3 separate regions of the Mus musculus genome follow, and all the other regions are reported to be linked to region 1. Evidence: microRNA targets listed by miRTarBase, many of them from high-throughput screens and not tested one by one. Region 1 holds a microRNA gene; each other region holds the end of a gene's coding sequence.
The links. The annotated mature microRNA mmu-miR-1930-5p reads ACCUCCAUAGUACCUGCAGCGU and lies in region 1 at 1,237-1,258, shown strand. An mRNA with a match to its seed (bases 2 to 7 or 8) in the 3' UTR can be bound and repressed. Matches are read on the target gene's strand: a 7mer-m8 pairs with bases 2 to 8, a 7mer-A1 pairs with bases 2 to 7 and ends in A, and an 8mer does both.

Region 1 (3,255 bases):
CTTTTCCCCCAGAGTTATTTTGTATTTCTTAAATGTATATGTGCATCTGTATGGGTGTATACATGTGTCTCTTAAGTGCAAGTGCCCGCAGCTGCCAGCAGAGTTGGAGCCTCCTGAAGCCAGAGCCAAAGTGGTTACAAACTCTCCACTGTAGTGCTGAGACTCAGACTCAAGTCCCCTGCAGAGTAGTGGGTGCCTTCTCAACAGCTGAGCCACCCTCCCGTCCTGGCTCGCCTTGGGTTTTGGTTTTGTTTTGAGACAATTTTATCTTGTGTAGACCAGGTTGCTCTAGACACTAGGCTTCACTACATCCAGATAAGTTTGTATGTTTAGAAAGTCTTTTCTAGTAAGTAAAGATGACTTTTGAATCAATATCTTATTTCCTCTCCATTTGGTATCTTCAATCTCTGTGGAACTGTGGATCTAACATGGATCCTGTCTGTGGAAATCCTGTGGGAAGGTCTTTCTGTTTTAGATCTGCTTAGACAGGGAAGCAGAGTTCTTTATTTTTTAAACATATATTTTAATTTTTAAATTTTTTTCTATGCTGCTTATGCTGGTCTCCAACTTTAGATCCTCCTGTTCCTGCCTCGACAGTGTGGCTGTTGAGTCAGGTGTGCCTCCCTGCCTACTTTGCTGTTGATGCGGGGCCTGGGTCTCTCAGGCAGTGTGAGTGGTGCAGGGCCAGTTTTTACTGCTGTGCTGGCTGTTGCAAGATGATCTCACCCATGCTAATGCAGGAAGCTTATAGCCAGGATTCCTGCCCTACTGACTTTTTATAGTGAACAGTGTCCACGGTCTCCTGAACTGCTGACGTGGGTCACATTAGTAAGGTTTGGACTGGAGGGGTGGGTGTCTGGCAGCATCCCACCCATTCCTAGGTCCCTGCCGCCAGGTCTCAGTCAGCATCCCCGTCTCTAGGACTTGAGCAGGACTTCTGTGATGGCTTGGCCCATTTCTGTTATTTACACAGAAGACATGGATGGTGCAGATTGGAGTCTTAGGGTCTGGTGGGACTGCTGTGGCCTTAGGCTGCTTGTGCATTGAGCATGAGTTGAGGATCACATGTGTGCCCTATCCGTTCTAAAAGTCACACCTTAGACATAATTGAAAATTCAAAATGTCCTTTGATCTATATTCCGTAGCTCCTCATCTGTGTGCATAGTCTTCTTGATTACCGTCTGCCAGAATTGACACCTTGAGTCCTCATAGGAGCTGGACCACATGCCCACGGTCACCTCCATAGTACCTGCAGCGTGCTTGACTTTCTCTATGGTGCAGTTACTGTGGCTGTGGCTGTGTTCGTGCCTCAGACTGAAAAGGACTGAGATGGACTCTCCAGGGAGAGAAAGCAGCAGTCCTTTAGATTGTTCATGCACCATTTTAGGCCGTGGTAGTATCCCTCTTGCACATCTGAGTTGTGGCTGGCATTGCAAATGTGTCTCTTTCCTGATTTTCAGGGGCCCTGAAGACACTTGTTTTGAGTTTGGTGTTTTTCCCGCCATCCTGAGTTTCCCACTTGACTACCCCTTGAGCCCTCCGAAGATGAGATTCACCTGTGAGATGTTCCATCCCAACAGTAAGTGTGTCTAAATGAGGTTGACAGGCAACAGAGTGCCAGCCACACTGTTAATTAAGAACGGCAGGGAGGGCCTGCAGGCACAGGGCTCTCAACTCTAAGCTGTGACCAGTGAGTTACGGTGTGAGCACCAGGACTGCCGCTTTGAGGTCAGCTTAATGTAGAGGGGAAATGCACACACTTAACACTGTGTTAATGGGCTTACTAGAATTTTGAGGCCGTGAGTGCTTTGTGTCCTACATTGGCCTTTGTCACAGTGTCATTTTAATGGCGGACATTTGGAGTTGGGCTAGAGAGGTGGCTTAGTGGTTTAGAGCACTTGCTGCTCTTGCAGAGGACCCAGCACCCACATTGTTGCTCACACCTGAGGCTCCTGGGAATCTGGTCCCTCTGCTCGCCTCTCTGGAGCCAGGCTGTCGTACACAGACATGTACACAGCAAAACAGCCCAGTGGTCCTACCGCAGAGCAGAGGGCACACTGTAGTTAGCCTGCATGTAGGCACCGAGGACATGTTAGGAATTCCTAGACAAACAGTTCCTGTCACTCAGGCTTGGAATGGAGCACTTGTGCTGTGTTGAGTGGGAAGTAGGTGAGGACTCACTGGTACTCTGGAGTTCCATCTCTGCCTGGAAGGGACCATAATACTGTCCGCGACTATGCCCTGATTGGGAGTAGGGGTTTCTTTCTTCCTTTTACTAGTAGCTATTATACATAAGAGAGGTTTGATGGAGAGTTTAAATTACTCAGGATGGCCTTGAACTCCTGATCTTCCTGTCTGTCTCCCAAGTGCTGACTTCCATGCACGTTTGCCCAAGCCAAACTTACCTAAGAGAAATGGACAGTGGTGGTGTATTTTCAATGATGGCATTTAGGATAATGTTTCTTTTTATAAATGTTTTTCTTTTTCTTTATTTTTTTATTATTTATTTATTTATTTTTGGTTTTTCGAGACAGGGTTTTTCTATGTAGCCTTGGCTATTCTGGAACTCACTCTGTAGACCAGGCTGGCCTCGAACTCAGAAATTTGCCTGCCTCTGCCTCCCAAGTGCTGGGATTAAAGGTGTGCACCACCACCGCCCATTATAAATGTTTTTCATTGCCACTGATAATCCTGATCTTTTTGCCTATGGAGCTGAAATTCAAGTAGGATATTCTATTTTGTAAAAATAAAACATTTACTTATTTGACACCAGGGTTTTTTTTATATGTATATATCAATTTTATTTTATGTGTATGGGTTTTTTGCCTGCAAGTGTGTCTTTATATAACAGACAGAGGCCAGAAGACTGAGTCAGATCCCCTGAGTTGGAGTTAAGGATGATTCTGAGCCATCGTGTGGGTGCTGGGAATTGAACTCTGGCCGAGCTGCCTCTCCAGCCCAAATGGATGTCTTTGTATTTTGTAAAAATAATTTTGAGCTGGGTGGCTCTGGTGCACATGCCCCCCCTTTCTCCGCACCTAAGGAGTTCAGTTGTCTTGCTTCTGCTCTAGCTACACGGACATGGACTTCGGTGGTGGGGGTGGCTCTGCCACCTGAGTTAGGGATGTCTAAACACCTGCTCTGCAGGGCCCCGTGAGGGATCTTACTCGCTGGGAACTTGAGTTTGGAATATTTGTCCATACATCTTTCACTTCCTCCTTTTAGTGATAATGCCTAGAGAAATATGTAATAAGG
Region 2 (3,255 bases), not on the chromosome of region 1:
ATAACTCAGCATGGCAAGCTGTTTTCCTAATCTCAATATGTTCCACACAGAACTCAAAGCTTCTACTTCTGCAGCTCCCACTGGGCTGATGAGGTTACACTACACCCCAGAGTGCTGTCAACTGTTAATATCAGGTCTTCTGAAAACACAACAGTGCCACCAGAACTTAGCCGAAATGAGATCAAAACTATTTGCTTCTAGAAATTCACTAGCATATAAAACCACAACTGTCTCATGTGTGCACCCGCATGCCATAAGAAAACATGAAAATCTTCTTAGTAATACATGTGGTTCTTATTTTCAACTTTCTTAAAAACAAAGCATGATTTCAGGAGCAAAGAGGAGAGCAGAGACAAGCTGGTTACTACCCCATTTAGCAGCAGGACCCAGAGGGGCCACACAGCACACCTGCAGTCTCTCATAAGCACCTCAGCATCTCCAACCCAACCAGCAAGGCTCAGCAGACATTACGGAAAGCTGCCCCTGTATCCAGACCCCATCTGCCCCCCAGGGGCTCACATGCTGAAGGTACACAATCCTTTAAGTGATGAGATGAGGGGGTCCTTTAAGAGATGAGTCCTAGGGGCAGGTATTAGGTCCCAGGAGCATTGACATTGGTGGAGTTGGTACCTGTGTCACAAATTTTGTTCCTACAAAAGCAAGTTAAACAAGGCTGGCCCCACAACCTCTGCTTGCTGTAAGACCTACCATCATCATGCCACCGCTGCTCTCGTCTGAAGGCACTACCATTCTGGACCTAAACTGACCAAAGCTGAGGTAAATAACCCTTCTTTATGAAGTACTTCAACTCAGGTATTTTGATAGAGCAACAAAGTAGTGTTTTAGGGTTTGCATTGCTGTGAACAGACATCATGACCAACCTCTTATAAGCACAACATTTATTTCATTGGGGCTGGATGACAGGTTCAGAGATTCAGTCCTTTATCATCAAGGTGGAGCATGAGAGTCCAGGCAAGCATTGCACCGCTGAGAGTTCTACATCTTCATCTGAAGGCTGCTAGAAGACTGGCTCCCATCTGGTTAGGAGGAGGGTCTCATTGCCCACCCCCAGTGACACACTTCCTCCAACAAGGCCACACCTAATAGTGCCACTCCCAGGGCCAAGAATATGCAAACCATCACAGGTATATTACTACAAAACCCCAGCAGAATAAATCCCAAATGAGGGACTGCTTAAGGATATAGAATATAGGGTTATACCTTAATTGTGAAGTGGGCAGTGTTTAACGTGAGAAAGGGAGACAGGGTAGAGAGAGCCATAAAAACTGAGTGTCTACAGCACAGAGGCAGGTCTGCCTAATACACAGCCATCTGCCCTTTTAGAAGCAGGAAGCTCTGGGCACCGGCAGTGAGAACGAGATACAAACGCCCATTACCTTGACTGATCACCATCAACACTGTACACATATACACTATAGCCATTAACACTAAAGTGCTGCATCTGAATGGGGATGCCAGCAAGCCTACAATCCCAGCACTAGGAGGCAGAGGGAGGGGGAGCAGTTTGAGGCCAGCTTGGGCTACAGTTTGAGAATGTCTCAAAACAAAATGTAATTTGGAGCCAAATGTCCAAGGAAGAAAACAGTTCAAACAGGATGAAGGGAACAGAAGAAAATATTCTCAAAACTTACCATTCCCATCCAGGAAACATCAGGACACTGTAACTGTGGGAAAGCACAAGTTCCTGAGATGATAAAATGGCAGAGAGGGGTTACTAGGCAGATAAAAGCCTGAATCTGTCACATAAAGTGGCACACAGCTTTAATCCCAACACTCCGGAGGCAGAGGCAGGGGCAGGCAATGTCTGTTGTGTTTGAGGACACCCGGTCTACAAAGTGAGTTCCAGGACAGCCAGGGCTAAACCAAGAAACCCTGTCTTGAAAAACAATATATTTTTTAAAACCTGAATCTTTCTAAATAGCCTAATCAAAGAATAAATACCAGCCCAGAAAGCAGAGCACCATACATAGGCTTCCACTGTCAGAAAAGCTTAGGAGGGAAGGACGGGAATGAGAAGCCCCACGGTCCTCATGGCCAAGGGAGGCAGCAGGACCCTGCCTGTAGCCCTCGCATCTTAAGCCACAATTCATACCAGTCAAATTAAAGTCGCTTTCAGAATAGGAGGTGGAAATTTTTCCTGTTTCCTTTCTTTAAAAGATCTTAAAAATGGAACACAACAAAAGGCATAAAATAAGAAAGGAAAATACCAGGCACAGGAAGTAAGGGACCAATCTAGATGGCCTAAAACAGAGACCATGTAACAGTTTATGGCAGACCCGGGCTCTCACAGGAACCTGCCACAGCCAGTCCTCCCGGGGGACTAATGTAAAAGGGCATCTGGGAGACGAAGAAACGGTAAGGTGGAGGCCCGCCCTGCAGCTACCAAAAGAGAGGCATGGCCAACAAACACTAAGATTCTTTTGGTTTGGATTTTGGGTTTGTTTTTTCCAAGAAAGGGCATCTCTCTGTGGCCCTGGCTGTCCCAAACTCCCTCTGTAGACCAAGCTGGCCTTGAACTCAACAGAGATCTCCTGCCTCTGCCTCCCAAGTGCTGGGATTACAGGTGTGCACCACAACAGCCCAACAGCAGCAATACTCTTTAATGTGCAAACTTCTCCATCTTTTAAAAAGTATCTGGTTTTAACCCAAGAGTATCTTTCTTCCATAAGTTTAATTTATTAAAATAATTTTCTACAAAAAGCAGGACAAACACTGAGTGTGCTGTACACCCCCCTTCTCCTGGGTTCTTTATAGAAGATGATGCTACTCAGCGGGCTTTACTCTTCAGTTTCTGTCTTGCTCGTTTTCCGGGTCTCTTCTGCACAAACAAAACAAAAACCATATGTTGTCACACACAGCACTTGGCCTTCTGTGCCAGGGTGAGGAGTCAAGGGGAGTAGAAAGGGGGTTGAGAAGATACTAATCAGGCCCCAACTTGGACCCCTCACTTACATTTGCCCCTTTCTTCCCAGGCCTCCTGGAGCCCTTGCCGTGAGCCACCTTGGCTCGGAAGCTGGAGACATCGTCGTAGCTCTCTTTCGTGTTCCATTTGGAGCCTTTCTTCTTTCCACCAAAACCAAACTTCTGATTTTTGTATCTTCGTTTGGCATTAGGCCTGAAAAAGGTGGCCCCACAGACAGTACACTGTAAACCCCATGAGCCTTATAGCTGGGTGACAGCCACAGGTTCATCTCTGCAGTCCTTAAGGCTCTCCTTGGCTTATATTTTTACTCT
Region 3 (3,255 bases), not on the chromosome of region 1:
TATGAACGACACTTAGGTGACATTTTGTTAGACCCCAAGCTGCTTCAGGCCACTGACACCCGTGATCTCCCTGTCCCTCTGCCACGAATTGTTTTATACTCATACAGAGACTTTTTTAAAACAAGATATTACCCAAATGCTCTCTATCCCTACACCCTCACAGCGGCATGGTCTATAAGAGAGAGGTTGGGTCCAAGGACCAGTGGTCCCAGTCATGAAGAGATACTTATAGAACTGGGCAAGTGGGGTCGAGGTGAGGGCGAGGATGGTGAAGGTGGCAGAGCCAGTGGAAGAAGCAATGCCAAGCTCTGCTACTCCCCGAGGCTAGTACAGCTACAGGTGGATTCCTGCTGTCAACAGGGAAGGCAGAAAGTCTGGGATGTCACAGCCCCGCTTGTTTCTAAAGGGAAGAAGCCAGGAGAGCCCATGTGTTGCCCAGTGCCACCTCTTCAGTGTTCTTGCTCCATGCAGTCTAGAATTCCAGGCATCTCAGATGAAACACAAGCTGGCCCACCTCACCCACCCTCTGGCTCTTTTCTCTTGATAATCTCCCCTGGCTTGGCTTCATAGAAGAAAAGGGATATAGAGGGACATGCAGCAGGGAAAATGGCTCTCACAGGAGATTCCCCAGGCCGACTGAACATGCTGCTTTCCATGCTGATGGAAAATCCCATGTGCCACCACCATCCAACACAGATGAGAAGAAAGAGGCTTAAAGAACTTCTTGGGCTGGAGAGATGAGTCAGTGGGTGACGGTGCTTGCTGCCAAGCCTGGAGTTTGATCTCCAGGTCCCACATGGTGAAAAGAGAGAACTGGCTCCAGCAAGTTGTCTTCTGACTTCCACACATATTCTGGGGACACACATACGCATATACACGCAGACACACAAACATGCACACACACACACACTGAATTTAATTTTTTTTAAAGTTTTAAGGTCACTCATGGCACTTTCAGTAGACAGAAGACAGAATCAGATTCTGCTGGGTTCTAGCATGGAGCAGCAATGTGTCTCATGGGCTAGATGATGGTCAGAGGGACTGCTAGGTTCACAGCCTGGGTGATCTGTGTGCTTCTGGAAGCACAAAAACGTCTAGCACAAAAATATGAACATCCCTTTTAATGAATATGGAGGCAGAGTTTACAGATGGAAATAAATGGGAGCTTAGGAGGTTTCCATTTGTTTATAAAAATTAGTGTCACCTGTGCTGTGCCAGGGCCACCAGGGCAGCAGAGCCTTGGGAACACTCACCGGGGACATGGGCCTGGTGGGCCATGCTTCCCGGGCCATTGTTCACGTGGAGATGTGAATGCCTACTGCTTACAATACCTGTATAAAGTGCTGTGTGATTAAAAAAAAAATTAGTGTCATTTTTGAGAAAAACTAAACAACCACCACCTTCGCCCACTATTTTAAGGCCACAAACCACAGCCTGGCTCTGTCTTGGCTGCTTGGGCATGGCTGTCGTGTCTAAGTCGGCTGCAGTGCTAGCTTCTTCCATGGTTTAACGGCTATGTCCTGTGATGTCGGAGCGTCTCCCTCACACACAGCATCACACTAGTTCCAGCAGCTTGGTTTCCCCTGTCTCAGTTCTGCAGTGTGGGCCTCATCATGACCACACATCTGGGTTAGTATAGACTGGGTTCTTCCATGTGTTCCTGGCAGGGACCACAGCCCTGTAAAGAACATTATGGACACATGGAAGACAGGGCTGGGGCCCACTTCCAGTTTCCAGTTAAAGACGATGAAATCAGTTCTATAATCCAGTCATTTCTGTAGGACCTCCACTCTGGAAGCTTCCTGATCCGGGGAAAACAAGGCCAGTCTCCAGAGTTACACAACACACCAAGCCAGACAGCTGTCCACAATTTCCATTTTAATATAAATGGGGTTCTGTCCCTGATAACTTCAGCTGGAGAATTACATAGCTTGATTGGACATCAACATTTAATAAAATTCACATCAAGATCATAAAGCATTTAAAATACAAAAATAAGTCTTTTAATTAAAAAGAGCACTGAGCAGCCCAGCAACGTCCAGAAGCAACCCATAGTCCACAGGCAGGGAGATCTCCGGCTGCGCCCAATGACTACGAGAGCTGCGAGGATCCAGAACCTCCAGGCAGTTTGGTACAGAACGTTCTGACTTCTAGATAATTTCCTGTCCAGCAGAAGACATTACAAAAGAGGCTGCAATGAGCCATCCCACTCAGGATGTCCCTGGCCTTCTGCAGAGGACAGTGGGATTACCTAAGAGGCAGAAAACCTCTGCAGGGAGCCCTGACTGTCATTTGGACAGGTGGGCACCCAGGCAAGCTGTAAGGGATATGCACTGGCCATCAAGTGAGGATTCAAATTCAACTGGCATCCTCCTTCGTCCCATTTGCATCTTCTTTTTTATTTTTTTATTTTATTTTATTTTTAATATTTATCTATTTATTGTACGTAAGTACATTGTAGCTGTCTCCAGGCACTCCAGAAGAGGGTGTCAGATCTCATTACAGATGGTTGTGAGCCTCCATGTGGTTGCTGGTATTTGAACTCAGGACCTTAGGAAGAACAGTCTGCGCTCTTAACCGCTGAGCCATCTCACCAGCCCCATTTGCATCTTCTAATGATTGTCGGTATGATTAAAATGGCCCTGCAATGGTAAAAGAACACACTGTGAGCATTAATTCACTCTACATTCAATAACAGGCTTCAGTTAGATATTCACCAACACAGAGAACACTATAATAACTGGGCTAGCTTGGGTGTGATGACATAGGCTTATAATCCCCACACATGTGAAGCATCCACACACAAGAGCATAGCCAGCCTGTGCTACAGAGTAAGTTCCAGGCCAACCTGGCCTTCACAGTGAGACCCTGTCTCAAAAATAAGATAATAGTAATCACTACTATATTATCAGGGGAGGGGGAGAGACACACACACACATACACATAGTAAACAGGCTAGCTGCTGTATACCACCTCTGGAGTACTGGGGTTACAGAAATGATACTTCTGTACAGGCCTGGCTTGTGCTTATAAAGAATGGCTTCTAAGTCATAACTTATATATTTATTAATATCCCTACACTGTAGCTAAGGTATTAAAGTATCCCTACTCCCACAAAGAACAGTCTAAACACATGGTGCATCCTCTATTACTTGCAGAAAAAGAATGAAAATATCACTCAGCCTGTCATAAAATAAAAATTTTAAACATGCTGTCAGAATACCAAATCAGGATTCGAAACACACGCAGTGTGGC

Region 2: the mRNA of Ebna1bp2 is a reported target of mmu-miR-1930-5p. Seed matches in the 3' UTR shown: 7mer-A1 at 1,082-1,088.
Region 3: the mRNA of 9430038I01Rik is a reported target of mmu-miR-1930-5p. Seed matches in the 3' UTR shown: 7mer-m8 at 2,517-2,523.

What each region holds. Positions count from the first base shown.
Region 1 is chr10:77,640,000-77,643,254 of GRCm38, forward strand. It overlaps Mir1930 (microRNA 1930), which reads left to right and starts at 1,225; the gene lies at 1,225-1,308. It overlaps Ube2g2 (ubiquitin-conjugating enzyme E2G 2), which reads left to right. Exons shown (of 6, transcript NM_019803.3): 4 at 1,461-1,579.
Region 2 is chr4:118,625,404-118,628,658 of GRCm38, reverse strand. It overlaps Ebna1bp2 (EBNA1 binding protein 2), which reads right to left. Exons shown (of 9, transcript NM_026932.4): 8 at 2,974-3,136; 9 at 883-2,839. The coding sequence ends at 2,789. It overlaps D4Ertd617e (DNA segment, Chr 4, ERATO Doi 617, expressed), which reads right to left and starts at 2,255. Exons shown (of 3, transcript NR_029469.1): 1 at 1,653-2,255.
Region 3 is chr7:137,373,710-137,376,964 of GRCm38, forward strand. 9430038I01Rik (RIKEN cDNA 9430038I01 gene) reads right to left here. Exons shown (of 4, transcript NM_029886.2): 4 at 1,860-2,642. The coding sequence ends at 2,613. Among named protein-coding and RNA genes, the nearest start is that of 9430038I01Rik, 35 kb to the right of the region's middle.